2 linked regions of the Macaca fascicularis genome follow. The protein of the gene in region 2 interacts with the protein of the main gene of each other region in a pairwise test. Links are inferred from orthologs where the notes say so. Each region holds a gene or a part of one and is shown on either strand. Other genes may lie near its edges. The genes, in order: ERBB4 and HDAC6.

Region 1 (15,811 bases), on a different chromosome or scaffold from region 2:
CGTGCCCTTCATATTTTTTACATTCTCACACATAGACTGCTCTAGATACGCTTATTGAAATTTTAAATATATAATAAAGCATTCTGAGCTTGGATTATTACTAAAGAGAAGATTGAATATTTCACTCTTGCCTTATTATTTGCCAGTAAATAAAATAACTCTAAACTCTAAATAGAATAACAAATACTTCTAAGTAGAACTCTTATTATTTTTAGTGAACATCTCATTTGTTGATAAACAATATCTGCATGTGAAACATAGGAAAAACAAAACAAAAGCTACCCCACAAATGAGCTAACAGCCTGTAAAAGACAACGTGTTTGATTGTATGGGTTAAATAACCTTTGTTATCTTGTTTTAAGCTATTAATTGCCTTAGCATGTATATGAATACATATACATGTGTATGCACATATATATCTAACATATGTATCCACACAAACACAGAGCCTAAAATTCAGATTTAAGTGTTCACTGATAGTACAAAAGGAAACATATTATATCTAGGCAAATACATTACATTTCAAATTCTAAAATTATGGCATTCAAATTCCAAGAGTTTATAGTCTTTTTTTTCTTATTTTTAGTTCAAACCTGCCTTATAGATTACTTATTTTTTTAATTATTTTAATAATCCCTAGACAGTATCTTATTGCATAGACAGATCTGGAGATAAATGCTGTGAAGGTAAAAGTATATCAAGTAACAGATAGAAATATTGTGAAGGTAAAAGTATATCAACTGACAATAAGCATGTATGTATATGTCGATTTTTAATAACTGGCTTTTATAGGTAGAGTGTTTAAATAACATATCTCTTTTCTGTGAAGGGCAACCTGTTTTGTAGATAAAGTACTATTTTAATAAATACTACTTTTAATTAATATGTTTATGGCCAGCTTTTATATATAGTATTTAATACTATAAGGATATCCCTTTTGTCTAATAAACTTACAGCCTATTCAATAACAAGTTAATATCTGTCTTCAAATTAAAGTGTCACAAAATTTACTTTAAGAGTATATTAATATGTATTTCAGCTTAGAACAAATGTTTTGGTTAAGGCAAATGCTTTCAGCTATATTTTAAAAATAGGTTTGTTTCTGAAAAACAATGCAGCCTCTAAAAGATACTTCTTACTATTTATTAAATGTTAATTTGAGGCTGTAAGGTATAATGGATTGCACTTTGGATGGGAACTCAGGGAATCTTGTTTCTAGTACCGTCACTATTTTTGTTACCTTGGAAAATTAACCTTTCAGAGTGTCAGAGTCTATCAGTAAAATAAAATTCTAAAACTTTTTTTCAAAATTGTATTTTCATGACTCATCATCCAAATGTGGTTAGGCTCATAAAAACATACAATTATATATTGCATGTAGCCTAAGTGATACTTTGTACAATAGATAGTCCATTTAAAAAAGGAAATTGATGAATCGACTTTGAAAAGATTTACGAGAGAAAACTTTATAAGATACTTTGCTTTAATGCTAATCACATTTTACAATATTTAATAACTAATTGTGTGAGCTTAAGGCAGAAAATTCATTTTATATGTAAATCCTTTGATAGTTGGAAGTGATCTTTCCCATTACCTGTCCTATACCCATATTCTTCTTTTTAGAGTTAAATAAACTAAAGGACCAAGAAGCTAAAGAATTTGTTAAAAGTCATGTGACTTAGTGAAAAATATTCAAGAATGAAATCCTGGAGATAGAAGGATTTCATGAGACCATTTGTTTTAGGTCTGTGAAGTTTTTGTCTTCAAAAGACGCCTGACCCGGTGCATTGTTGGCATCCTGAAAAATCCTCATCAGATACTCTTTATGATGTTGGAATAAAAACCACACAAGCAGAGACAATTTCATGATTCATTTGAAGAATCAGGCTACTCCAGAATTTATACATAGTTAAGGCTTGATGATCTCATTTCTATTCTTAAAGACATTGCATTAGAACTAGATGTTCTTAAGCATACATTAAAAAAAGAAAAGAAAAATAGCCTACCCTCTCTAACTGAAAAGAATTACTGAGAAGTCTTTGAGAAACTCCTAGAAGTTCTCCTCTTTAGATTTCTAGCTACATGCATTAGCTAGTAGCTAAGTGATAATTAGGAAAAGGTTCAATTATCACAACATGCTAATGAAAATGAATATAAACATGCCAAAAAAGAGAAAGTTGCTAGAACAAACCAAACAATACAAAAATTTAGAACTTGCACCAGGGTAAAGAAATCAATTCTGTGTGATAACTAATCTCAAGAAGGGTGACACAATTCTTGTTGTTATCTTGAATGAAGCTAAGGAATGTTGACATTAGTGGAAAATTATATTTCTTTATGCCCTTTCTTTTTTGACTGTGCTAATAATATTCTTTGATTCCATCACATAACATTGCTCAAAGAAGCAACTTAAAGCAGAAACCTGTAAAGTGAGGGGAATGTTCAGCTTCATTTTATTGACTCATCTAGCCATGAATATTTTAAAAGGAAATATCCTCTTGTTCTACTGATATTTGGAAAGGGTACAGGAATTGCTGCCTGGGGATACAATAGCTTACTTACCCTCAGTGAAGCAGGAAGAAGAATTTATTGACTAAGCCTTGTACTAGGAACAATAAATCCATAATCAGGAGTGCTGTCATGAAAAATCTTTGTGCTCTCCAGTTATTTAAAATTGTCTCTTCCTGCTTCAGGGCTGGCTTTGCTCTTGGTGAGGTAGGTAAATGTATATATACACAATATGATTTTAGATAAAAAGGACTTGTAAGAAAGAATGGAAAAATACACACACACACACACACACACACACACACACCCTATTAACTCTTAATACTCAAAGTTTCCTTCTTTCCAGTTTATGTCCTTGTAACTAATTTAAGTGAAAAGTGGGGTGGAGCAATACTGTAATGCATTATCAGCATTTTATACCTAAGGTAATGAGTTTCGATGTGCCTACTTAAGTCATTAAGTTCTTTTCACTAAAACTAGAAAAAGAAACTAAGAATTTGAGAAAATAGTTGAAGCATAATACAAAGGAAGAGAGAGGGCAAAGATGAGTAAGAATAGAAATGCTAAAGTCAAAATCTATGTGCGGTATAATGTAAAGGTCATAGAGTGACGGGCTTTGTGGTCAGATAGCCAACTATGGATGTGTGCACACGGCAGATCCTTTAATTTCTCTGCTCCTCAATTTTTTTGTCTATAAAATGAGAGTTATAATTTTTAATAATGCTATTTACCTTGCAAGTTTATGAGAATACATAAAACCTAAAATAGTCCAACGTATAGGGTGGGTACATAATACATATATATATATATGTGTGTGTGTGTATACATATATGTTAGTTTCTCTATTTCTTTTTTTTTTTTTTTTTTTTTGAGACGGAGTCTTGCTCTGTCACCCAGGCTGGAGTGCAGTGGCCGGATCTCAGCTCACTGCAAGCTCCGCCTCCCGGGTTTACGCCATTCTCCTGCCTCAGCCTCCCGAGTAGCTGGGACTACAGGCGCCCGCCACCTCGCCCGGCTATTTTTTTGTATTTTTTAGTAGAGACGGGGTTTCACCGTGTTAGCCGGGATCGTCTCTCGATCTCCTGACCTCGTGATCCGCCCGTCTCGGCCTCCCAAAGTGCTGGGATTACAGGCTTGAGCCACCGCGCCCGGCCTCTCTTTCTATTTCTTAATTTCCCTAAGAGTCATCATGTATTCATCTATGAAACAGAATAGACTCAAAATAAAGTAGACTTTGAGGACTGACTTAAGAAAAGTGGGATTATTAAGCATTATAGAAGACACCATTTTCATATGCTTTGTAAATTCTGTCCTGACTCTTGTTCATATTTACAGATACCACTCATAGCTTCCATTTATTAAATTTTTTAATTAAATGAGTACATGAGACATATACGAAAGATGAAAGGTTCCAAGATTAATGAGTGAATAAAGAATGAGAGCTGGCCAGGCACGGTGGCTCACGTCTGTAATCCCAGCACTTTGGGAGGCCGAGGCAGGTGGATCACGAGGTCAGGAGTTCAAGACCAGCCTGACCAAGATAGTGAAACCCCATCTCTAAAAATTAGCAAAGCATGGTGGCGGGAGCCTGCAATCCCAGCTACTCGGAAGGCTGAGGCAGAGAATTGCTTGAACCTGGGAGGCAGAGATTGCAGTGAGCCGAGATCGCACCACTGCACTCCAGCCTGAGTGACAGAGCGAGACTCCGTCTTGAAAAACAAACAGCAACAAAAAAGAATAAGAGCCCAAGTCAATATTTCTTCAACTGGACCATAGAGTCATTATTGGGTGTGTGTGTGTGTGTGTGTGTGCAGAGTAAGAGAGATTGTTCAAAAAAGTATAGTCCCACAGAATCAAACCAAATAGAAAAATGAGTAAATAAATATATGTATACATAGACAAAAGATATTATGTGTAATATATATAAAATTCAGCCAGCAGCTGAAATCTCAATAGACTTCTCCCAGCCATTTTTGGGTTTGGCACATATGGACACATTTTCTTTGTTTCCTTCTGATTGCCCTGTGAAAAATGAAGGTTCTAAATCTAAATGTCTCAAAACACTGGTATGTTGAACTCAGTTGTGAGAAAGATGCAGAGTTACAACCATGCATCAGGAATTATAATTTATAATACAATAATTATAATAACCTAATGCAATAAACATTTTCTGTATGCTGCCTTGTGACCTCTGAAAGTGTGGAAATGCCTATCAGAGTGTTAAGCAGATATGTCAGGGAGGATAAAGGGTTGAGAACCTTTAATAGTTTAATACTTCCACTATGTGGAAGTGTCTAGATAATAAATTAGTGCTGATGGATTAGCAACGTCTTATAGAGACATTTTATTTTAGTCAAAAGAATTTGGAGTATTTCTTGAACCTAGAAATTGTAATCTTATAATTACTGTTGAAAGTAATAGTTATTTAAAGATTAGAAAATGACTCTCATTGATCACATGTTTAATTTAGATAGAAGCTAGGCATTAGGCCTGTATTTTTGTTTCCTCTGAAAGTAGATTTGTATAATAACTTTTTTAAATATCACGAGATACAGTCCATCTATTTAATAATTAAAATTTCTCAAGAACACTATAAACAATACAAATATAAGAAATACTGTGCATAAAATGTGACAAAGGTTCTAATATTTATCATTCAACAAAAAAGTAAATTTTAGAACATGATGTATTTAAAAGTGCATTTAATACTGTATTTGATTTGTTTGCTGATACTTGCCTTCTCTGTAATCTCCGGCATTTAAATCCAAGTTAATCATACAATGTCCCAGTGATATGGCCACAGAATTAAACTCATTCCATCCATCACCCTTACAAACGCCCCCCACCAGGAACAAACTCAGTGTCACCTGCCAGTTCGTAACCCACGTCTTTCTATCTCTGCCCTGCTGACAGTAAATTGCCTCACCAGCTAATTGAACAGATGCACCCAGTGCTGCTTCCTAAAGATCTGCAAAGCTGGACTTTGATGGACAGCAGAAAGTAGCACAATGGAAAAACAAAAGCTTTTAACTGAGAGCATTGCTTTGTTCTGCTTAGAACTTTAAGGTCACTCCAGCTCATTTTGACTGCTGTGAGGATCTTAATTTTTACTCAACCAATTTACTTGCAGCTGTCATTCTTTCCAATATTAAAAGTTCAGCTCTTCAAGTGTGGGGAATTGAGGGAGAGAGAAATGAGAAGAGCTTGTTTCAAACTAAAAACAGCAAAAACAAGTAAAATCTGGCTTGGCTCTGAAGTACAAAAAGTTATTTTCAAAGCTTATAAATTATGACATCGTGATTAACATGTAATTTAAATATATTTAAACAACAATTATATCACATTTCCAGCCCAGCTAATTGGCCTCACAGATGTTCCCTTGGAGCTGCATTGCCCTTCCACGGGGAAATGAATGAGGTGCTTTTTATCATGGAAAACAGATAAAAAAGCAAACTGAAAAAATGGAAACAGAAACATAAAAAGCAGCCAGTAACCCTAAAAACAATGAATGCTAAAGGGGTTTTGCTTAGCATTTTTTTCCATTTTAATGCTGAAAACAGGAAAATTCATGAAGATGCTCCTATTACTGTGATGCTATTTGGCAGTTTGTCCAGATATGGAGTTGGCAGGTTGCTGACTGAAAGACTTGTCAAAGCAGGGACAGTGGATGCATTCTAATAGGGCATGGCCTCGCTTTCTGTCTTGGAACAGACTAACCGCAAGAGTCCCAGTTACTTTAATCCATTGCCTTTACAATGGAAGCCATTCTAGCCCAGATAATGAATATAGATAATAAACTGTTCCCCGATGAAGAATGACTTGTAAGTTGTTCCTTTGATTGTTTATGTCTCAGGTTTTGTAAAGTGCAAAATGTGCAATCAATACTCATTTCTCAGCTGTAATTCTAGTCAAACATTACCCAGTACAGCAACTTTTGCAAGGTAAGAGGTCAAAGGAGCACTAGTAATTATGAATATTTTGGAATACCTTGCATTCTAATATAGAATAATAGAATTGAAATAAATTGCCTTGTTTCATTCTTGCCTTTTCTTCCAACAATCTCAGATTATAATCGATAGTGTAAATTCTAAAAGGACAGTGGTCATGTCTTTCTTAGTGTATCGTGGTATCGCTGGCATCTACCACAGTGCCTGTACTTTTACTGTAGAAATTTAGTAATAGTTGTGAAGTACTTGCCAAATAATTGGTGTTTAATGAAGAGGGTAAGGCCAATGTTTGTAGTTTGGTGAAGTTCCACCAGGCAGTTCCATATTTCCTGTACTGTCACTCTATATTACAAATCACTGGACTATAAAAAATTCTCTACTCAAATTTTAAGAACAAATGTACTGGATTTCAGGTATTTCTAAAATATAGTAAAACATGCCTATATTTAAGATGATTAGAAAATAGATGAGCATTTTAAAATGCCTCTTTGATGAGTAGCTTTGGCATCCTGATTGCTTTATTTTAGAAATTCAATTTAGTGGATATGAATATTTAAATGTGATATTTACATTTTTATAATAGTGCAGAGTTTACAAAGTTAATTTATATGCATTATCTTACTTCATATTTATTAATAATAAAATAGAGAGGCCAAGAATGAAAACGAGGGTCTGAGATGTTTCATGATTCACCAAATTCACACTACTTATCATTGGAACTAAAGCCCAGGTCATTAAACGATCTGTCTGTTGCACAGTAGCACCTCCTATGTATTGCATATTAAATATATCTCTGACTTTCCATGTCATAATCTTTGATGTGTTGTTAGTTATGTTACTAAAGAAGAAAATAGATAAATATTCTAATGCCACCATAGTTATGGGGAAAATTAAAATATAAACTCACTATAAGGGTTCAGACCGTGTCCCTTGATTAGTCCAGCAGACTAAGTTAGTTAAGGGAGATTATATTATCCAGTTGTTACTGATTTACTTTAAATACTTAATCTCCATGGGACCATATTCTTCTTAGAATGCTTCGTGAATCTAAATCATATGAACAGTGACCTGGAATAATATTTATCTGTTTCATATAAAAGATGTTAAGTATCTGTAATCCCAGCACTTTGGGGGCTGAGGCAGGTGGATCACGAGGTCAGGAGATCGAGACTATCCTGGTTAACACGATGAAACCCCGTCTCTACTAAAAGTACAAAAAATTAGCTGGGCATGGTGCCAGGCACCTGTAGTCCCAGCTACTCGGTAGGCTGAGGCAGGAGAATGGCACAAACCCGGGAGGCGGAGCTTACAGTGAGCCGAGATCCTGCCACTGCACTCCAGCCTGGGCGACAGGGCGAGACTCATCTCAAAAAAACAAACAAAAAAGATGTAAGGTATCTTAGAGGTTGATTTTAGTCATCTCTGTTTACTTAAAGCTGGATTGTAGAGAATATGAGCTTCATAAAATCAAGCGGTTTGGGTCTGTGTTTTGCATTATCCCTGTGCCTAGAAAAGTGCCTGGCACATAGACAGTAGGTTCTCAAAAAATGTGTTTAATGTATTTTTTTAATTAAGAAACAGAATTAGTATCATACAACTCCTTTTCCTTACCCTAAAGAACACTGTCCTTCATATTTTATTATATTTTTATACCCTCTTTCAGTTAGCCCATAGGATGGAGTGTTAAGCTATAAAAATATACATGTATTTTTGTTGTTGTTTCTTTAACTGAATCTGATTTTGACTCATTATAAATACATAAGGGGAATCTAAAGCATGTTTCCAGGAAATGAATTGATTTTCCAAATTTTCTGCTGTTTCTTAACTTAAAAAAAAAAGTAAGACTGAAGATAAAATAGCATATACCTTTTAATAAGGAGAGGCAAAAGAGTTTACCCTTTGCTGAAGTGGTGAAAAATAAATGTAGCTTGATAGCAAAAATTACTGCAGGCAAATCGAAATCTCCTGCTATCTCCTTCCAGAAATATTTATTCTAAGAGAAAAAATAACAGCAGCGTATATGGCCATTTCAATCTTTTGACATGTAAAGAAGGAAACCATTTCCTATTTACATCAATAGTTTATTTACTACTTTTTCCTTTCCAGTAGGGTTAATCAGAAGAAAGTTTATTATTTACTTTCTAATCCATTGAAAAATTTTGCTTTTTCTGTATAATTTGCCTTTTCAGGGATTGAATTAAAATATCTATTTTCCTCAAAACATATAAATAAGCTTGCTTATGGTCAGAATACAGACAATGTTACTGCTTAGGAAGCTTCACTGTTGTGCACTTTTCCCCCTTTGGTTCATACGACTCATGTGGCTTTTCTTTTTCGTTTCTTTTTTTAATTTTTTCATTCATATTGCCTCTTATTATATCCATCATTCCATTTTTCTTTCCTATTAGAGTGAAATTGGACACAGCCCTCCTCCTGCCTACACCCCCATGTCAGGAGTAAGTATTTCACAATCAACCTTCATCTTTTAGGATTTTTGGTCTTTGCTTACCATGTTTCCTCTCTCTTGTCTCTGCACAATTTCCTCATTTTGCCTTTGCCAACAGTGAGTTAAGAATTTGCTGTACATTGTGTAGCTGCCTTTTTAGATGTGTTTTTATCTCAGTTGATAATATAAAATTGAGATCTCATGCATCAACAGTAGCTTTCAATTTTTATCTGAAGGATTTACCTGCGCATATAAATTATGCTTCTGGATGTGGAGGTGATCTTTACTTCCCTGAGTATAGGTCATGTACTAAAAAGTCAGAATTATAGTGATGATCCTCTGGTTAGGTACTAGAGCCTCAAATTCATAATAACCACAGAATTTTAGAAGGCAATAAAGACAAAGGATTATTCAAAATATATCCATGTACTTCTATTCTTAATGACAACTGTCTATAATGACACTCCCATTTATCATAAAAATTCACTTTGAAGTTTATATTAAATACAGGCACTTGTGGGAAAAGGGCATCAAATACTTTTTATTAGATTATGTTACAGTTGGTTAATAAAACTAAAATGTGTACTTCAAAATTATTTTCTGATGATTTATCTTTTAAGAAAAGCGGAAATTTTAGGTGTTTCTAGTTTGTAACTCAAATTCATTAGCCACTAGGGAAAAATAAATAAATACTATGACTATTCTCTAAAAGACTGGCTTTGACATCCTTGTGGCTATTAACATTCATTTTTAAACTATTTCTAACAACACCTTCTCTCTAAATATGTTTCTCTTATTAACAGAATCAGTTTGTATACCGAGATGGAGGTTTTGCTGCAGAACAAGGAGTGTCTGTGCCCTACAGAGCCCCAACTAGCACAATTCCAGAAGCTCCTGTTGCACAGGGTGCTACAGCTGAGATTTTTGATGACTCCTGCTGTAATGGCACCCTACGCAAGCCAGTGGCACCCCATGTCCAAGAGGACAGTAGCACCCAGAGGTACAGCGCTGACCCCACCGTGTTTGCCCCAGAACGGAGCCCACGAGGAGAGCTGGATGAGGAAGGTTACATGACTCCTATGCGAGACAAACCCAAACAAGGTACGAACTGATTATTCAAAAATGATTGCCATTTGAAGTTCACTTCCATCAAGATAAACAAAGTACAGAATGGAAATTGCCAGATAGCTGTACAGCACAACATTTGTGACCTAGTAAAGGCCTAGGCTACTGCTACTTGCAGTATGGTCCCTGAATCAGCAGCATCCACATTATTTATTATTATTTATATAAATCAGAATCTCAGGCAGGCCCCATCTGAATAGGAATCTGAATTTTAACAAGATCCCCAGGCTATCTGCATACAGCAATGAGTCTTGAGAGGCACTATTCTAAACATATTTTGTTGAAATATTTGAATGAGGTAGCAGACCACAAAGTGTCAGGACCATAGCTTTATTGGACTTAATTGTGGAGATCATAAAGACTGGTATTGTTGGCAAATGTGCCTGATGCTTTTGATGGCGCTAATAAATGATTTGTTTGACTCATTTAAAAGGTGTCATTTAAACAACCTAGTTTATTATAGGAAAATATTATGTTTTTATATGACATTTTTCAAAAATTAAAGTTTTGACCCTGTATATACTTACAAGCATACCATCAAGATTTGAAAATAATAGTTTGTGGTTTTACAAAGCACAACAATAATTTTGTAAAGTTAGTAGTAGAAATGTTAAGCACCCAAATCAAATAATGCTTCAATTTTGCAACAAAACAGCTTTTCTTCTTCTACGCTAACAGTATCACAATAGAGAAGATAGATGATTGTTATTAAAAAATGATGATCATGTCTCTCGCAGTCTTTAGTGTCAATAGTAAACTACATTTTGAAACTCTGAGAAGGGCTTGTTATAAGGTTATGTTCTCTCCTTCAAAGTAAAATTTAAAGATCTCTAATTGTAAATAACCTTTTAAAATATATCTGTCTAGATAAAACTTTTACATATATAAAACTTTTACACATATAAAAATGTAATGAAGAGTTTGGATGTTCATAGTAGCCTAGTAATGGCACAAATGTAGATTTTATGAAGATTTGGTGGATTCACCCCAAAGAAGCAGCTTTTCTGGGGACATTTTCACTTCAACCGTAAAGTTATTGGACAGCTATACAAGTTTGCATCAGGATAATATATAAGTAGATCGCATTGAGGAAAGGTAATGTAAGGCTAAGAGAAAAGCAAGTCACCCTATATAGTCACACTGTATTCTCAGATTTTATCTCTGAACGCTAAGCTCCATTTCTATAAAAGATTGCTATAGTCTCACCTCATACTCAGAGAGTACAGAATTTTAGTATAGACATTCCTATTCTTTCAATTAAGAAGTTTCAGAAATCTGGTAAGAAAGATCAAATTCTACATTGCTTATAAGTGTTTTCATATGCTTGTCAAAGTAAAACTTGTGGCTAAGCATAAAGTTCACCCAACTCCTGCAGGGGCAATAATAACAAACAGTGCAGTAGAATAAGAAGATTACTCAAGAGGAGTTAGAAGACCTGAATTCCATCCCAACACTAATTGTATCCTGCATACATCACTTAATCTCATTTTTCTGTCTACAAAGCTGGAAAAATAAGTCTTGTACTTCTTTTTCACAGAATTGTGAGGATGAAATGATAGTGTCTTGTAAAGTCCTATATATGATAGTGGGATATTCATTACTGCCCTTTCACTTGAATAAATGATGCTAAATACTTACCTATTCTGTATATATACATTTGGAGAAAAATAATCCTGGCTTAATAGAATTTTTCTCTCTACTTGTTGGGCTAAGGATAAGAGATAGAAAGTTTGTTTCAGAATGGCCTCTCAACAAGGAATTGTGTCCTCCTGATGCCTTGAATTCAAAATAGGAATAGCTTAGGGCTTTGCATATATAGTAAAAGAGAAGACTATTTAGAGGACCTACAATATATATGTGTATATGTCTATGTGCAGTTTATATTATAGACATAAATGTATTAAGAATTAATTAAGATTCAGGAGAATGGTGGTAATTATTAGCACCGTTTAGGCCAATACCTATACTAGATGGATTTATTAGATTGATCCATACAAAATAGGCACTAATTGACTGATTTCAATATACAAAATGGCTGTTTCATATGATTCAAGCTGATAGTTTGCCATTTTGTGATTATGATTGGTCAATGGAAATATTATAATTATACTTTATTATTAAGTAGAAGTATATGTAATGTCAAGCAAGTCCGCTAGAGGCATGTTAGCTATCTGTTAGATTTGCTTTTTTAGTTTAATTTTTTTCCTTTGATGCTTTCTTTTCCATGTGTAAAACTTTTGTCAGGAGCATCTCCAATCAAATCCTTTTTACCAGTATAGGCAACCATAGCAAACCATAGAGACTAATAAAACATGATTTCTTCACTCCATCTATTCATCTTGGCATGGAACTCAGCTATAGACTCTTTGGTTTTTCAATATCCTTTATAGAAATTAAGCTGTCTGTATATTTAAAGGCTATTTAATCCTAATAGGTAGTCTTATTTCCTAATATAAATAACTTTTAGAAAACAAGAACATTGAAACAATCAGCCCCATATGCAGAAGAGACAAATGCAATTAGAAAGAAATAAAAATTTAGGAGATAGAAATTCTGATTCTGGCCTCCTTGGCTTCTTGGTTTTTGTAAACATGTTTGGCCCCCTTACTCTTTTTTTCATAAGACCATGGTAATCCACAAATAGTTGTGAGAAATCATGAAAACAAATCTGTGGGTTTTTGTTCTAGACAAAGCAGCTAACCATTATGTATAACTTTGCTCTGATTAATATTTTCCAGAAAGTAGAGGTTAGCTGATTTTTTTTTATTCCTTTAGAATACCTGAATCCAGTGGAGGAGAACCCTTTTGTTTCTCGGAGAAAAAATGGAGACCTTCAAGCATTGGATAATCCCGAATATCACAGTGCATCCAATGGTCCACCCAAGGCCGAGGATGAGTATGTGAATGAGCCGCTGTACCTCAACACCTTTGCCAACGCCTTGGGAAAAGCTGATTACCTGAAGAACAATGTACTGTCTGTGCCAGAGAAGGCCAAGAAAGCGTTTGACAACCCTGACTACTGGAACCACAGCCTGCCACCTCGGAGCACCCTTCAGCACCCAGACTACCTGCAGGAGTACAGCACAAAATATTTTTATAAACAGAATGGGCGGATCCGGCCTATTGTGGCAGAGAATCCGGAATACCTCTCTGAGTTCTCCCTGAAGCCAGGCACTGTGCTGCCGCCTCCACCTTACAGACACCGAAATACTGTAGTGTAAGCTCAGTTGTGGTTTTTAGGTGGAGAGACACATCCGCTCCAATTTCCCCACCCCCTGTCTTTCTCTGGTGGTCTTCCTTCTACCCCAAGGCCAGTAGTTTTGACACTTCCCAGTGGAAGATAGAGATGCCATGATAGTTATGTGCTTATCTAACTTGAACATTAGAGGGAAAGACTGAAAGAGAAAGATAGGCGGAACCACAATGTTTCTTCATTTCTCTGCATGGGTTGGTTGGGAGAATGAAACAGCTAGAGAAGGACCAGAAAATGTAAGGCAATACCGCCTGCTATCAAACTAGCTGTCACTTTTTTTTCTTTTTATTTTTCCTTTTTTTTTTTTTTTTTTTTTTTAAGCAGATGGTTGAAACACCCATGCTATCTGTTCCTATCTGTAGGAACTGATGTGTGCATATTTAGCATCCCTGGAAATCATAATAAAGTTTCCATTAGAATAAAAGAATAACATTTTCTATAACAAACATATGATAGTGTCTGAAATTGAGAATCCAGTTTCTTTCCCCAGCAGTTTCTGTCCTGGAAAGTAAGTATGGCCAACTCAAATTTCATAATTTAAAAATCTCCATCAAAGTTATAACTAGTAATTATGTTTTGAAGCCTTTTTGTTTTTTTTTTTTTCATTTTGTTTTGCTCTGACCAATTCCTTTATATTTGCTCCCCAATTTTTGGCTTTAATTTCTAATCGCAAAGATGTTTACATCAAAGCTTCTTCACAGAATTTAAGAAATACTTTAATATAGTGAAATGACCACTACTTTACGTATACAATCTTTAAAATAAGAAAGGGAGGCTAATATTTTTATTTTAGCTCTCATTTTTCATGCTATCAAATTATCTTCACCCTCATCCTTTACATTTTTCAACATTTTTTTCCTCCATAAATGACACTACTTGATAGGCCATTGATTGTCTGAAGAGTAGAAGGGAAACTAAGAGACAGTTCTTTGTGATTCAAGAAAACTACTGATACTTTCAGGGTTGGTCCAATGAGGGAATCTATTGAACTGGAAGAAACACACTGGATTGGGTATGTCCACCTGGCAGATACTCAGAAATGTAGTTTGCACTTAAGCTGTAATTTTATTTGTTCTTTTTCTGAACTCCATTTTGGATTTTGAATCAAGCAATATGGAAGCAACCAGCAAATTAACTAATTTAAGTACATTTTTTTTTAAAAAGAGCTAAGATAAAGACTGTGGAAACGCCAAACCAAGCAAATTAGGAACCTTGCAATGGTATCCAGGGACTATGATGAGAGGCCAGCACATTATCTTCATATATCACCTTTGCTACGCAAGGAAATTTGTTCAATTCGTATACTTCATAAGAAGGAATGCGAGTAAGGATTGGCTTGAATTCCATGGAATTTCTAGTATGAGACTCTATTTATATGAAGTAGAAGGTAACTCTTTGCACATAAATTGGTATAATAAAAAGAAAAACACAAACATTCAAAGCTTATGGATAGGTCCTTGGCTCAAAGTTGTAAATAAATGTGAAAAATCTTCTCATGCAATTATTTTATTATCCAACACACTAATCTTTTGATACTTTATATAATTCCTTTTCTTCATATACTGCATCCAGTACTAGAACCATCATTATTATGTATCATTTTGAAAGAATACCTGATGATGAAGGATGGGAACAAATGACAGAGATGAGTCTTCCAAGTAAAGGGGGCCTCACATCAATAATTAGGAAACTTAGATATAAGTCCCCCTTTTCTGAAAATTCTACCCCAAGTCATTTAGATTTTTTAAAAATACTTCTTTCTAATGTTAAAATATTGGGACCAAATTAGAGTCAATAGTATAAGATTACTTAATTAGAGTAAAAATATCTATTAAGGCAGAGAAAGTTTAGAGAAAAAAAAATGCAAAGAAATTTGTTTCTTCCTATTCTGAATAAGTAAATCCATCCATCTATCCAAATCTCCTTTATCTAACTGTGTCTACTAAAAGCACTGTATTTTGTGGGAAACACTCAGATAAATGGAATATCATCCCCAACTTCAAAATTCTATCATCTAGGAGATTTAATTAAAATGACATTTTAATTTTTCTATGAGTTCAAAGAATCAGATTGCATAGTCTCTTTTGTGAATAGCTGTCATATAATCAGTTGCACTGTAACATATCTCCTTTGAACTCATTTGGGATATAAGTTACACATCCTTCAAATTGTTGATGTTGACAAATAGGATAATTTCAGTAATATTATTCAAACATAAACTGGTCTAGAAGAATATTGCATCACTGGCTAATTAACCTATCTAGATTCTAACTTCACCATTAAACCAAAAGCAGATGGTGGTCCTTGGCCAAGAATGATGAAGACATTGGAGTTGGTTTTCTTCTAAGCTATAAGAAGTGAGGCAAGCTGAAAAAGTACAGTAGAGCAGGGGAAGGATTTGTGAGATTCCTTCTAGGGAAGTTCACCCTCAAACTTTTCAGGATTAAAGACAGAGTGATTCAGGGGCCATAACCTAACAACTCAGAGCTCTCCTATCCATTCAGAGAAGTCTCTAGGAAAAGGAATCTCATA
Region 2 (15,811 bases):
TTGGTTCTAAACTTTTGGTAAGTTAATCATTAGAGGAAGAGAAACACAGTAGGACATAAAAATTATCATCAGGGGCCGGGTGCGGTAGCTCACACCTGTAATCCCAGCACTTTGGGAGGCCAAGGTGGGCGGATCACTAGAGGCCAGGAGTTGGAGACCAGCATGGCCAACATGGTGAAACCCTATCTCTACTAAAAATACAAAAAATTTTCTGGGCGTGGTGGCATGTGCCTGTAATCCTAGCTACTTGGGAGATGGAGGCAGGAGAATTGCTTGAACCCAGGAGGTGGAGGTTGCAGTGAGCTGAGATTGGGCCACTGCACTCCAGCCTGGGAGACGGGCGACAGAGTGTGACTGTCTCAAAAAAAGAAAAAAAGAAAAGAAAAGAAAAGAAAAAGAAAAAAAAATCATCGGGGAAGACAGCAATAAAGAAAAGATCTGAAGAAAGCTGACTCTAAAAGAGAGCCATCAAAGTCAACAAACAACAGAACTAGCACTCAAGGAAGCTAAGTTTAAAAAGAAAACAGAAGGGAAATTCAAAATAAGTTCAACCACCTTCAAGTTAAATGGTGGACTGATAGCACGGGTTTACCTCACCCTCCTACCACCCCGGTCAAAATACAGTAAAGAAATTGTAAATAAACAGCAACCCAGAAAGAGAGAGTGGAAGAAAGGATGTCAGAGAATAAGAGACTTCAATGAATTTCTAGAAAGTAGACTTTGAGATTCCAGGAGCCCCAGGGTGCTCTGTCTCATGCTGAGCAGGATAAGGGGGCACCCAAGATAACCTGAGGTTTCTTTTCTGGAGAAATCCAGTACAGATCCAGGTCAATGCACACAAAATCCCTTCTGAAGAGCCCCACCGAATCACCAATGCACCAACGTTATTTGTTTAACTACTTAGTTTTAGATCATCTGCTTTCCTTGTCTTCACAACAGCATTTTAAGGACTGTCCAGTTTGTCTCCCTGCTGCTGGAGTTCAGAGACTGAGAGATGGGGAGCTGGGAGATTCAAGGGTATGGACATGTTCTTTTTGTTTGTTTGTTTACACATGTTTGTTTATAAGGAAGAATGCACTGAATGTGCACACAATGTTTCACATCTGTGTGTGTAGTCAATAGTGTACCCACGAAAGAACACACAGCTATAGCCTCCTATGCATTTATTCAAACAAAAAGAATGATTAATGATATTAAAGAATTCTTTGAATGACAGACCCTTGGCAGATTGAGAAAATAATTCTTGTTAATTTTCAGGTATTGATACTAAGGTAATGCTTTTCTAAAAAAGTATACTTATGTTTTAGAGATGCATTCTGAAATATTTACAGGAGAAATTATATGGTAGGTATCTGGGATTAGCTTTGAAGGAAAACAGGAAGAGGGCAGTGGGTACAGGTATAGATGAAATGAGATCGGCCAATGAGTTGATAAATGTTGAAGCATTCAATTCCAGAAGCCAGAAATGAACAAAATAAAGAATGTAGTAGGAAAAAAATAATAAAGATAAAACCAGAAAAATTAATGAAGTATTAAAAACCCACCATAATAAAACAGTAGAGATGACCAACAAAGCCCAAAGCTAGACTGGGAAAGGTAAGTAGAACAGACACACCTTTGGCAAGGCTGAGGGAAAAGAGATGCTACCCCAAAGAAGAGGCCTCCTTTGTTCTGACATCTGGCAGGATCCCATCTAATGCCCGGGTACTTGCCCACACTCACTAACGTTGCAACCTGTCAGTGGACATTCCCTGTCCCCATTCTGGGGAAATGCCTTTCAGGAAAACAGATCTACAAACACCGCAGCAGCAGCGTAGTCCTCTGCTCCCTACAATGGGCCTTCATTCTTGGGTATAAATAGCCAAATAAGGATTGCTAGACATTTGAGGGAAACCATCAGCATAAAAGAGAAGGACCAAGAAAAAATAATTCAACCAGCCTCAGAATAAAGAGACATAATTCAGACAACAGAAGAAACTTAAGGCACTTCTTTTTTTTTTTTTTTTATTTAAAGACAGGGTGTCCCTCTATCACCCAGGCTCGAGTGCAGTGGCACGATCTTGGCTCACTGCAACCTCCGCCTCCTGTGTTCAAGTGATTCTCCTGCCTCAGCCTCCCGAGTAGCTGGGATTACAGGTGCGCACCATCACGTCTGGATAATTTTTGTATTTTTAGTAGAGATGGGGTTTCACCATGTTGGCCAGGCTGGTCTTGAACTCCTGGCCTCAAGTGATCCACCCACCTCGGCCTCCCAAAGTGCTGAGATTACAGGCATGAGCCACCACGCCCGGCTGGCAATTCTAATTCATACTCTATAAAAACAAGATCAGGAATGAGAGGGCACAGAAACAGAGAGGAAGAAAGAGCTTTTGGAGTTTAACAGAATATCTAAATACATAATTCAACAGAAGAGCTTGAGGATAAAGTTGACAAAATCTCCCAGGTCACAGCAAAAGAAAAAAGAGACAGAAAACATGAGATAAAAAATAAGAAGCCTGGGCAATATGGTGAGACCCCATCTCTACAGAAGATTAAAAAATTAGCTGGGTATGCTGGTGTGCACCTGTAGTCCCAGCTACTCAGGAGGCTGAGGCATGAGGATTGCTTGAGCTCGGGAGGTCGAGACTGCAGTCAGTCACATTTGTGCCACTGTACTCCAGCCTGGGCAACAGAGCAAGACCTTGTCTCAAATAAATAAAAAAAAAACTCAAAAAGAGATAGACATAGAGGATCAACCCAGGAAGTCTAACATCTGACTAACAGAAGTCCTAGAATGAGAACAGAGAAAACAAAGAAGAAATTATCAAAGATCTAATAGAGAATAATTTCCAAGAATTTAAGAAAAGCATGAATCTTCAGATGTAAAATGTCTACCTACTACTGAGCAGAGTGAAAAGGCCAGGGTAAAAGTTTAGAACATCAAGGCTAGGTACAGTGGCTCATGCCTGTAATCCCAGTGCTTTGGGAGGTTGCAGTGGGAGGACACTTGAGGTCAGGAGTTTGAGACCAGTCTGGGCAACATAGTGAGACCCTGTCTCTACAAATAATTTAAAAAATTAGCTGGGTGTGGTGGCACATGCCTGCAGTCCTAGCTACTTGGGAGGCTGAGGCAGGAGGATTGCTTGAGCCCAGGAGTTTGAGGTTACAGTGGGCTATAATCTCGCTACTATACTCCAGCCTGGGTAACAGAGTGATACCCTATCTAATAAAAAAAAAGAAAGAAAGAAAGAAAAAAGAACACCAAGATAACCTTGCAGAGCAGAAAGTAGATTACTTGTAAAGGAATGAAAAGCAGACACCTGTCAGGAACACTGAATGCTGGAAAATAGTAAAGCAATGTCTAGAGAACAACCAACCTAAATTGGATTCTTTTTTTTTGTTTTGTTTTTTGTTTTTTTTTTTGGTTTTTTTTTGAGACTGAGTCTGGCTCTGTCACCCAGGCTGGAGTGCAGTGGCCGGATCTCAGCTCACTGCAAGCTCCGCCTCCCGGGTTTACGCCATTCTCCTGCCTCAGCCTCCGGAGTAGCTGGGACCACAGGCACCCGCCACCTCGCCCGGCTAGTTTTTTGTATTTTTTAGTAGAGACGGGGTTTCACCGTGTTAGCCAGGATGGTCTCGATCTCCTGACCTTGTGATCCGCCCGTCTCAGCCTCCCAAAGTGCTGGGATTACAGGCTTGAGCCACCGCGCCCGGCTTAGATTCTTCAGATGTAAAATGTCTTGGATAAGTGGATTCTCTGTAGTCAGCTGGGTAGAAGGCTAGATAAAACAACTACTACAGGTTGAGCATCCCTAATCTAGAAATCTGAAATGCTGTAAAATCCTAAACATTTTTTTTTTTTTTTTTTTTTTAGATAGGGTCTCGGTCTATCACCCAGGCTGGAGTGCAGTGGTGTGATCTCAGCTCACTGCAACCTCTGCCTCCTGGGTTCAAGTGATTCTCCTGCCTCAGCCTCCTGAGTAGCTGGAAATACAGGTGTGTGCCACCACGCCTGGCTAATTTTTCTGTGTTTTTGTAGAGACAGGGCTTCACCATGTTGGCCAAGCTGATCTTGAATTCCTGACCTCAGGTGATCCACCTGCCTCAGCCTCCCAAAGTACTGGGATTACAGGCATGAGCTACCGCGCCTGGCCCTAAAATCCTAAAGTTTTTGAAGGCCAACATGATGCTCAAAGAAAATGCTCACTGGGGTATTTCGGATTTTGGGTTTTCAGATTAGGGATGCTCAACCACTAAATATAATATAAATATTTCAAAATCTGAAAAAATCTGAAATTTGAAATACTTCTGGTTCCAAGCACTTCATATAAGGGATAATCAACCCGTACTTAGTAATGTCCCCTACTCACAAGGACTTGCTCAATCACTTTCTGCAGGAAGGGTAAACTGGTCCCCTCCTGGAGGGAAGTCAGACAGTGTATACCAGACTTTAAAGTATGCTGACTTTTTGGCCCAAGCAATCCACTGTTAGAAATTCATCCTACAGATAGACTTAGAGAAGTGCAGAATTACATATTTACTAGCCTATTCACAGTAGAAGTGCCTGTAATAGCAAAAACTGGGAAGCATCTTAAAAGTCCTGGTGTTAAATAACCAGAAGTACAGTCATAAAATTGAATACTACAAAGAACAAGATACTTTAAGGGGTACTAACATGGAGAAATGTCCCAGATATAGATATGCTGTTAAATGAATAAAGCAAGTTGTCGAAGAACATGGGGAGAATTATTCCATTAGGCAGTGTTATTAATAATTATAACAATAATAATAAAAATTCAGACATCTGTAGAAAAAAATCTGTAAGGATATAACCTAAACTGTCAACACTTATTTTTGAGGTAATGGAAATTAGAGGAGACTCACTACTTCAGACACTTCTGTATTATTTAATTTCTTTAAACAAATAGTTTGTTATTTATTTATATTTATTTTTTACTATCTACTGAAAGGATAAACAAATTTGAAGCATTATCCTAATCAGAAAAAATAAAGCACTAATTTGAGGTTCACTCCAGCTCAAGGGTTAATCAGTGAATAAGATCTTCAAATATTTGTGGGTCAAATCCCATCTCTCCCAGTTCTTCTCTGTGTGACCTCTTAACCTATAAGCCTCAGTCCCCCTATCTGTAAAATGGGGAACCCAACAGTCCCTGCCTCAGAGTGAAATTAGGAGAGACGGCAGACACACAGAAAGTAGCACAGATCCTGATCCCAGGATAGGCCCCATGAATGTGAATGCTTTTTCCTCCCTCTGGACCCCTTCTGGCTGGGCCTGTAAGGGTGGGAGGTGGCTGGGAGTCTAGCACCTAGGTGGGAGTTGGGGTATACCTGGGGTCCTGGTCGAAGGTGAACTGTGTTCCTTGACCGTGGTGCACATCCCAATCTACAATAAGGACCCTAGGAGCAGGAGAGAGAGGGGACTCTGTGCAAGGGGATCAAGGTGAATCTGGGGGAAGAGCCCAGAGCAGGACACCCCACCCCATGCCACCCCCATCACATCTGCCCTCTGCTGCTGACCTCCGGATGCGGTGTTTCTGTTGAGCATAGCGGGCTGCCACAGCCACGTGGTTGAACATGCAATAGCCATCCATAAGACTGTGCTGGGCATGATGTCCAGGAGGCCTGGGCAAGACAAGAAAGTAACAGCCTGGAGTGTGTGAGGGGTCCTCCTCTTCAGAGACATACTATCCCCTGCTCTCTAATCCTGGACCACCAATTCCTTTAATGCTGATGCCTAAAAATCTGCTGGGAACTGAGTAATGGAGCCCCTCAAACTCTCACCCCCTGCCAATCTACCCCTGTTTCCAAAGGAGATTTGAAAATGTTCATTAAAATGATAAAGGCCGGGCATGATGGCTCACGCCTGTAATCCCAGCACTTTGGTAGGCCGAGGCGGGTGGATCACGAGGTCAAGAGATCGAGACCATCCTGACCAACATGGTGAAACCCTGTCTCTACTAAAAATACAAACAACTAGCCAGATGTGGTGGCGGGCGCCTGTAGTCCCAGCTACTCGGGAGGTTGAGGCAGGAGAATCACTTGAACCCAGGAGGCGGAGGTTGCAGTGAGCCAAGATTGCGCCACTGCACTCCAGCCTGGTGACAGAGCAAGACTCCGTCTCCAAAAAATAAATAATACATAAAAATAAAAATAAAATGATCAATGCATACATTCTCAAACCCAGTCACTCTGTTGCAGGAACTTAGCCCACAACCTATATTTTAAAAAGGGTGAAGTAACATTTTTATTTTATGTTAGTATAAAATAACATTTTATTTTTATAAAGGTACTAGTATATTTGCTGTAGCATTTTTTCTTTTTTTTTTTGAGATGGAGTCTCGCTCTGTCGCCCAGGCTGGAGTGTAGTGGCCGGATCTCAGCTCACTGCAAGCTCCGCCTCCCAGGTTTATGCCATTCTCTTGCCTCAGCCTCCCGAGTAGCTGGGACTACAGGCGCCCGCCACCTCGCCCGGCTAGTTTTTTGTATTTTTTTAGTAGAGACGGGGTTTCAGTGTGTTAGCCAGGATGGTCTCAATCTCCTGACCTCGTGATCCAGCCATCTCGGCCTACCAAAGTGCTGGGATTACAGGCTTGAGTCACCGCGCCCGGCCTGCTGTAGCATTTTTTTTTAAAACAGCAAATGACTGAGGAGAACCAAAATGCCCATTAGTCGGGAGCTGATTAACAAAGAGTACATTTACACAATGGTGTTCTACCGGGCTCCAAGATACATGCTGTCAGAGAAAGGTTTCCAAGATGTGTAAGTGAAAAGATGGTACGAAGGGAGTATGTCGTGTTACTACCATTTGTGGTTAAAAACAGGGGAGGGAGGCCGGGCGCGGTGGCTCAAGCCTGTAATCCCAGCACTTTGGGAGGCCGAGACGGGCGGATCACGAGGTCAGGAGATCGAGACCATCCTGGTTAACACGGTGAAACCCCGTCTCTACTAAAAAATACAAAAAAACTAGCCGGCCGAGGTGGCGGACGCCTGTAGTCCCAGCTACTCGGGAGGTGGAGGCAGGAGAATGGCGTGAACCCGGGAGGCGGAGCTTGCAGTGAGCTGAGATCCGGCCACTGCACTCCAGCCTGGGTGACGGCGCGAGACTCCGTCTCAAAAAAAAAAAAAAAAAAAAAAAAAAAAAAAAAAAAAAAAAAAACAGGGGAGGGAGGAGAAACCTTTTGCATTTCATCAATTCTGGGATGCCAACGATGATAAGATGTACCATGATTTTACATGCCAAAAACAAAGCAGAAAATACTGCCAATGGAATTCTGAGATGTCACTGTTTGTAAGATGCATCTGGATTTCAAGATGTTACAGATATGAAAAAATGTACACCTTAGAATCAATGAAATATGGTATTTATTTCTTGAATAAGACTTTGTGGGAGGACACATGAGTCAGTGGTTCCAATGACTACCTCCCATGAGAGGAGGCAGGTGTCTGGGTGACAAGGATGGGAGACAGATTTTTAATTATATTCTCTTTTGTACCTTTGGATTCTTGAATCACATGAATATATTACCCATATCAATACATTTTACACTTGAAGGAAGGACTTTAAAACAATGTAAAAAGTCAAATGCTGGAGAGTCCTACCTAATGATGGCCATGCCATTCCGGATCTCAGCCCCCAGGACCGCATCCACCAGCCTGAGGACAGAGCCTGAGGCCAGGCAGGCACAGGAGTATGAGTTCTGGAGAGACAGTGGGGAGCCAGAGAGGGAGTGAGGGAGAGAACAGCCCTATCCACTCAGCTGCTTGCCCCAGGGTAGGGTGGGCATAGGGATAGGGACCCCAAGATTGCCACCATTCCCTGCCCCCACAGTTCTCATCCATACCGGATGCAGATAAACTGAGTCGTAAGTGTCTGCTAGGACGCGGAGTTCTCCCTCATTCATGTACTGAGTTGTTTCCATCAGATCAATATATTCTAGGCTAGACACAGATGGGAGATGAGATTCAGGGCCCTGTCTCTTCCCCACCTGAGCCGTCCACACACCAAACCCCTGGTCAAATTAGGGCTCGGCTCCCCCAACTGTCAACCTGAAGGAATAGCCGGGATTTAAGATACATTCTGTTTCTTCCCTAGCCCGCCTCAGTTCCAGTAATATTCTCTGCTCCCCTGCTCTAGCCATACCAAATCCTACTTTCAGGCCTTTGGCCACTCTTGTCTAGCTGTCTGTTCTTCCCTTCCCTCAGTCACCCTCTTCATCTGACTCACTCTTTTTCTCCTCTTAAAGCTCAGCTCAGATACCCACTCTGCCAAGCTAGCTTTCCTCGAGCCACACAGCACCAGGCCTCTAAATCTGGGTTCCTGCAGCCCCTGGGGAAACTGTCCACACACCCACCATCACTCTGTCCACACATCCACACATCCACCCGATCACTCTGTCCACACATCCACCATCTGTTCAATCAGATCATGATAACAGTAATAGCTCATGATGGACTGATGATACATCAGGCCCTGTTCTAAGCACCTGACACACATCGAACTCTCCTGAGGAACTTAAGTTTACTGGTTCCCTTGTTACAGGCGATGACATAGATTCAGAGAGGCTCAGCGACTTGCCCAAGGCTGGCCACAGAGACCATGACATTCCTTCCCAAAGCGTTTAGCTTGCCCTGGTTTGTCCAGGGCAGGCTCCTCCCCATCCCTACAAGGCTCCCAAGCCTTCACCTGTGAACCAACATCAGCTCTTCCTTTTCAGCAAACCGGGCCTGGGGAGAGATGAGGAATAAAGGCGGGATAAAGGGTTAAGGCATGGGCTGAGCCCAGGTCAGGTCAGCTCCCTGCCCTTTACCCAGAGTGTTGGCTTGGGGGCCTTACCTGAAAGGACACACAGCGATCTAGGAGGCCCTCCTGGATCAGTTGCTCTTTGATGGCATGGAGCCGCTCAGGGCCTTCCGGGAAGCTGGGGAGATGGAGACACAGTCACAGATGCATGGGGACACTGGGGAGCTCCACATCTGCTCTCTCCACATCTCCCCATCCACCCTTCCACAGCTGCTTACCCCAAAACTGTGGTGTGAGGCCGGGCGTGGTGGCTCAAGCCTGTAATCCCAGCACTTTGGGAGGCCGAGACGGGCAGATCACGAGGTCAGGAGATCGAGACCATCCTGGCTAACACAGTGAAACCCCATCTCTACTAAAAAATACAAAAAACTAGCCGGGCGAGGTGGCGGGCGCCTGTAGTCCCAGCTACTCGGGAGGCTGAGGCAGGAGAATGGCGTAAACCCGGGAGGCGGAGCTTGCAGTGAGCTGAGATCCGGCCACTGCACTCCAGCCTGGGAGACAGAGTGAGACTCTGTCTCAAAAAAAAAAAAAAAAAAAAAAACAAAACTGTGGTGTCAGTCCTGCCTTCCATCAGCTCTGGAGTGTGACCCTCTCCTCACCACTGCCACTGCTACTACTATACCCTCCTGCCTGGGCTGTGGTGGCATCTCCTCGGCCTCCCTGCTTCGACCCTCGCCACCTCAACAGTCCTTTCTGTGCATGACAGCCAGACACTGGTTAAAACCCTAATCAGTTCATGTCCCATTTTTTTTTTGAGGCTCCCATCCCATTCTGAGTAAAAGCCAAAGTACTTCCCATGCCCAGAAGGCCCAAAACTGTCTGTTCTGCATCACCTCTCTGACCCCATCTCCTACCCCTCTTTCTTTCCTTTGCTTCGCTTCACCTACACTGGTCTCTTCCCTGGTTCTCAGTCGAACCAAATACTCTTCAGCCAGCCCTAGAACTTTACTCTAGCTGCCCCCCCAGCCCTGCCTAGAATACTCTTCCTCCAACTGTCTCCATGACTTACTCCCTCACCTCTTCAGATCCCTGCTCGAATGTCAGTGAGGCCTGCCCTGACCAGCGTATTGAAAATTGAAGTCTCCTCCACTGTACTTTCTCCTACTATCCTCCCTTTACTGCTTCTCCATAACACTGCCCTTTTCTACCACAGTGCATCATTTACTTTTCGTTTATTTATTGTCTGTCTTCCCCCTTTTCCCTGAAGGCACGGGCTTTTGTTTGTTTTGTTTACTGCTGCATTCCTAGCTCCTCAATAGATGGTAAATAGGTATTCCATAAAAGAAGTCTTTTCCCATAGTAAGTTACTCTTAGGTTGGGATAAGGGATATAGATATTAATTGGTAAACACACAAGTATGACAATTAGCAAACAATGTCATGGGCTAGGAAAATAAGATCAGGTACTGGGGTAGGGTTTGGTCAGGCAAAACCTTCTCTGAGAAAGTCTCATTGGGATGTGAAAGGTAGCTGGAAGAGAAGACCGAAAAGAATCTCTGGGAAAGGGGTTGGTCAGGGTACAGACCAGAGGTAAGAGGGTGCCTGGCATGTTGGAAGAACAAGGGGACTAGTGTGGGTGAGGAGGATTGGCTGATGAGGTCACAAAGTGATGTGGAGCCAGATCATGTGGAACCTTCGAGGCCACGATGAAGAATTTGGACTTTACCTTGAGGGCAACAGTTTGCCCTTAAAGCAATTTTTTTTTTTTTTGAGACAGAGTTTTGCTCTTGTTGCCCAGGCTGGGGTACAATGGCACAATCTCGGCTCACTGCAACCTCCGCCTCCCAGGTTCAAGTGATTCTCCTGCCTCAGCCTCCCAAGTAGCTAGGATTACAGGTGCGTGCCACCACGCCTGGCTAATTTTTGTATTTTTAGTAGAGACGGTGTTTCACTGCGTTGGTCAGACCGGTCTCGAACTCCTGACCTCAAGTGATCCACCTGCCTTGGTCCCCCAAAGTGCTGGCATTATAGGCGTGAGCCACTGTGCCCGGCCTCCTTAAAGTATTTTAACAAAGACATCATCTCATACATATTTTTTTAGGTTGCTGCATGAACAGACAATAGAGGTGAGGCTGGAAGCAGGGGACCACGGAGGAGGCTTCTGCAAGTCTAGGTGAGTGATGATGATGGTGGCAGTGGAGGTGGTGAGGAGAGGTCAGAACATATAGTCAAAAAGATTTGCTGATTCTTTTTGAAAAGTAAAGCAAATGGGAGGTTTCATCCTTCTGTTTCAGTACAAACGTCTCTTCCTCTATAAAGCCTTCTGGGAAGCCTGGATACTAGTTTAGGATCCTCTTTTATACACCCTTGAATCCCCTGGTCTTTAGTCTGTTTTCATTAAACACATCATACTGCTCTTGGCTGTTTAATGATCTGCCCTCCTACTCATCAATCCGCTCCTAGAGAAAGGACCCTGTCTATTGTTTGGTACATTTGTATCACCAACTCTTGGCACACAATAGGCAATAAATGTTTGTTAGCTACACAGAAGAACCCTTTCAAGTGTGAGCCCTACCTCTCCAAATCATCTGCTTCCAGTATCCAGGCTGGGGTAAGAAAGGATTTATTCTTGCTAATGGGCTCTAAATGTGTGTATTTTTGTGTTTTGGAGACAGCCTGGAGGACCCAGCCTCACCTGTCATCCCAGAGGCAATGGAATTCATTTAACTGCTCATCCAACACCAAGCCAGTGCCAGCCAGTGCTTCAGCCTCAAGGTTCAGATCCTGCAGAGGAAAAAAAAAAAGGACATACAGATCCATTTCAGGCCCTGAGTCAGAGGGAACTGTCCAGGGTTGGGAACCTTTGGGTTTTGATTGTCATAGGAGTCTAAACTGCAGCCAGGCCCTGCTCACCATCCCTTGCAGTCCCGCGATTAGGTCTTCTTCCATTGCTTGGCCGAGCTTCTTCATTTTGCCTTTCTTCTTTACCTCCGCTAGATTGGGGATGGAGCGGGGAACGGCTCCCTTTTTAATGTTTCGCTTCTGTGAATCAGAGAGAAGGGTCAGAGTCCAGGGAATGACCAACTTGCTCCCTCTCCCCCTCATGAGGGCGGGTCTAGGGCCTCACCGAAGTGACACTGGAGTCCTGAGGGGGAGATTGGGGGTTCTGCCTACTTCTTCGCTGCCTGGTTGTGGTAGAATCCTGGCCGGTTGAGGTCATAGTTGAGGAGGCTTGACCCCTGCCGCGGTTCTGGAGAGGTGGGAGCGTGGGTATGTGAGGGGGCTAGTGTGCCCTGAGGACCCCACCTCTCTGCCCTTTTCCAGGCTCCGCCCCCTCTATTAGATTCCATTCCTTACACGATCTGATTCTCCACAGCCTTCCAAACTCCGCCTCTCTCAGGCCTTCTCCCTCCACTCAGGTGGCCATTCTACCTGGCCCCGCCCGGTCCGCTAGACTCCACCCCTTTTACAGGATTCTCTTTCCCTAGTCTTGCCCTTTCACTGAGCAATGAGCCCCCTGGCTCACTCAGTCCGTTTTAGGGCCTGCCCTTTCCAACCAATCACCGCCCCTTCCACTCTCCCAAACCCCATTCCCAGACCCTCTAAGCCCGGCCCAGACCCCATTCCTTCACGAATCTGCCCTTTCGGCCTACCTCCCGGGATAATCACCCACCCTCTCACTCAGCCGGCCCCGGCCCCGGCCCCGGCCCCGGCTCCACCCTTAACGATTCACTTAACTCCACCCCTCATCGGGCCGGACCGGTACCTTCCACTCCGCCAGATCCCGCCCCTAGCGTTTCAACCAGCCCCGCTCCTCAGGGGACTGCCCCGTTCCTTCAACCAGCTCCACCCCCTGCCCAGACCCGACCGCTAACGTTTCGCTAACCCCCTTCAGCCAGTCCCTAGCCGCCTTCGGTCGGCCTCCGCCCCCTTCCCGCCTCCGCCGTCGACGCGCTGTACTCGCCGCTCCACTCACTGGACGCAGCCCCTTTCTCAAACTCCGCCCTTGGCTCGCTCCGCCAAGTTTCTGGCGACCCGTGGGGACGCGAGCGCCCTGGCCTTTCTTTTCCATTGGGCCTGGTCTCTCGACTGCCCGCCCAGATCCCGCCTCCAGAGGGGAGCGTGCCTCAAGGCCGCGCCCCTCGCGCGAGCCACACCTCTCGCGAGCTCACAGGCGGCGGGGGAGCGAGGCGGGGGAGCGCGCCAGCGTGCTACGCCAGCTGTGCTGAGCCACACCTCTCGCGAGCTCACAGGCGTCGGGGCGGTGCGTCGGCGTGCTACGCCAGCTGTGCTGCGCTTGCGTAAAACGCAGGCGCCGGCAGTTCCCAACGGGACTGAGGCGCAAGCTTTCCCGTGCCTCGGCTACCGTCGCTGTCGTCCTGGATGCCATAGCCGCCGCCCCTCCGTCCCTGTCCAGTCACTTAAGAGCCCTTCGGGCCGGCGGTGTCGCGAAAGGAAGCAAGGAAGCGAGGGAATTAGGAAGGGGCGTCTTCTCTTTTCCCCGCGACTTCCCGCGCGACACGCCCTGATGACGTAGAGCGGGCGGGCTGGTTGTGGCTGGGTCGAGAGCGAGGTTGCCACTGGATTTTGGCTGGCGGCGGCCAAAATGGGCGTGGTGACGATGCTAAATGTTGTGAGGATTTTCCAAGTTAATATTCACTACGGTGGTACACAGGAAGCGCTCGCCGAATGTTAGCTATTAATATTCTGCCGCAATATTCTGGGTGGAAGGAGTCTTAGTGGGGGCAGGGAATGGTAATGATAGCAAGTATTATGTGACAGGCATCGTTGTAAACCACAATTCTATGAGGTAGTTCCCATTATTAAGACTGCTTTGCAGATAAGGAAACTGAGGTTACGGGACTTAACCATGTGACCTTGGGCAAGTTACTGAACAGCTCTGTGCTCCGTTTCCTCATCTGGAAAGTTGTGATAATAATAGTGCCCAGGGCCAGAATGGACTTGAGGAGGGGAGTTCTCATGGGCAGCAGCTCTCCCTATCTGCCCCCTCCAACGGGTAACCACTGCTCCCAAGCAGTAATAGAAAGTGTGTGTGAGTCTGGGGAGCTGTCCCTGGGCACCCTGTCTCCCCCGCAACTCCCACTCCGTGTCTGAATGTCAGCTCTGCAGGAGGCCGGTTTGTCCTCTAATCTCCCTCTCTCATTCTCCACCATTTCCTACCAGGCTATAAGCTGGGACCGGAGAGATAAGCAGTTCGAGGGTTCAGCATCAGACTGACAGATTGACGGTCTCACCGCCCAGTAGCTGTGCCCTCTAATCCTCTTGATGGCAGTTCCTGACGCCGATTCCCTTTCACCCCTCCTACCTGAACCTATCTTTTGTCTCAGCGCAAAAGAGTTGCAGACCTAAGACCTTTAAACCCCTACACTCACCAAAGAAAACACATACAATGATAACACAGTACAAAAAATTTTACAGTTGTGATACCTGCAGCCTAAAAGAGTAGGGAGTCTTGCAAAGGGTCAAGGCCCATTTTTCTGTTGGATCAGAAGAGAGGTTTCTGTAGAGCAGGGGTCAGCAAACTTTATAAAGGGACAGAGAGTAAACATCTTAGGATTTGCAGGCCACATACGGTCTCAGTGGCATTTTTCTTTTTTTCTCTCTCTTTTTAAAACACAACTTAAAAATGTAAAACAGCCCACAGTCTGGCTTTGGCTTGAATGCCGTAGTTTGCCGGTCTGTGCTGTAGTGTCAGGCCTTGATCGTCTCTATCTGGCTGGGATTCTTTTACAGGATTGAGGGAAGGGGCCTTTTCTCCTTTTGTGTGAGGTGTGTGAGGACAGGGATTCATGGGCAGGGTCAGGTCACTTCTAGTGTACCTCTGGTGGGTCATTTCAAATGTGCCCCCTGATCCTCTTGATCAGACAGAGTGAGGACAGGGATTCCAGGGATTCCTATGGTTTCTATATTATTGTTCCTTTACTGAATCAAGCAGGGGTTTCTAGAGAGCTCCAGACTATGGGTTCCTGTTCCTGTACAAGTTCAGGATTAAGCTTTTTTTTTTTTTGGAGACGGGACAGGGTCTCACCCTGTTGTCTAGGCTGGAGTGCAGTGGTGTGAACACGGCTCACTGCAGCTTGAACCTCTTGGGCTCAAGCTATCTTCCCACCTCAGCCTCCCGAGTAGCTGGGACTACAAGTGCATGCCACCGTGCCTGCCTAATTTTTTTTTCTTTATAGAGATGGGGTCTTGCCATGTTGCCCAAGCTGGTCTCAAACTCCTGGACTCAAGCAGTCTGCCCGCTTCAGCTTCCCAAAGCGCTGGGATTACAGGTGTGAGCCACCGTTCGGGGCCAGGATGGGGCTTCTTAGACCTATGTTATGACAGCTTCCTACAAAGAAATCAGGTGGGCCAGTACTGAGTCACAGGTGTTTCTGTATAGGTTCAGAGCTTGTGTTCATATAGATAGTAAGATCAAGTGTGTAGATTTCAGTCAAGAGGTTATTACTGGCCAGGCAGAATGGCTCACACCTGTAATTCCAGCACTTCAGGAGGCTGAGGAGGGCAGATTGCTTGAGCTCAGGAGTTCGAGACCAGCTGGGCAACATTACGAAACCCCGTCTCAATAAAAAACACAAAAATAGCTGGGTGTGGTGGTGTGCATCTGTAGTCCCAGCTACTTGGGAGGCTGAGGTGGGAGGATCGCTTGAGCCTGGGAGGGGAGGCAGAAGTTGTAGTGAGCCGAGATTGTGCCACTGCACTCCATCCTGGGTAATAGAGTGAGATCCTGTCTCAAAAAAAAAAAAAAAAAAAGGAGATTACTGGCCAGGCATGGTGGCTCACACTTGTAATCTCAGCACTTTGAGAGGCCTAGGTGGGCAGATAATTTGAGGTCAGGAATTTGAGACCAGCTTGGCCAACATGGTGAAACCCCGTCTTTACCAAAAATACAAAGATTAGCGGGGCGTGGTGGCATACACCTGTAATCCCAGCTACTCAGGAGGCTGAGGCAGGAGAATCTGGGAGGCGGAGGTTGCAGTGAACCAAGATTGCGCCACTGCACTCCAGCCTGGGCGACTCCGTCTCAAAAAAAAAAAAGAGATTATTGTTA

Evidence for each region.
Region 1: the proteins of HDAC6 (region 2) and ERBB4 interact in a protein complementation assay, tested with the Homo sapiens proteins (2 studies listed by BioGRID and IntAct, with this or other methods). The link is inferred for Macaca fascicularis from reciprocal best matches to the Homo sapiens genes HDAC6 and ERBB4.

What each region holds. Positions count from the first base shown.
Region 1 is NC_088386.1:107,198,139-107,213,949, reverse strand, and holds part of ERBB4 (receptor tyrosine-protein kinase erbB-4), read left to right. Parts: intron 1-8,863; coding exon 8,864-8,911; intron 8,912-9,704; coding exon 9,705-10,002; intron 10,003-12,801; coding exon 12,802-13,247; 3' UTR 13,248-15,811. UniProt on the Homo sapiens protein: Tyrosine-protein kinase that plays an essential role as cell surface receptor for neuregulins and EGF family members and regulates development of the heart, the central nervous system and the mammary gland, gene transcription, cell proliferation, differentiation, migration and apoptosis.
Region 2 is NC_088395.1:48,957,733-48,973,543, reverse strand, and holds the start of HDAC6 (protein deacetylase HDAC6), read right to left. Parts: upstream 12,831-15,811; 5' UTR 12,812-12,830; coding exon 12,626-12,811; exon of another isoform or gene 12,490-12,625; coding exon of another isoform or gene 12,478-12,489; exon of another isoform or gene 12,097-12,477; intron 11,990-12,096; coding exon 11,867-11,989; intron 11,782-11,866; coding exon 11,653-11,781; intron 11,524-11,652; coding exon 11,435-11,523; intron 8,919-11,434; coding exon 8,834-8,918; intron 8,725-8,833; coding exon 8,684-8,724; intron 7,939-8,683; coding exon 7,842-7,938; intron 7,698-7,841; coding exon 7,600-7,697; intron 5,623-7,599; coding exon 5,518-5,622; intron 5,398-5,517; coding exon 5,329-5,397; intron 1-5,328.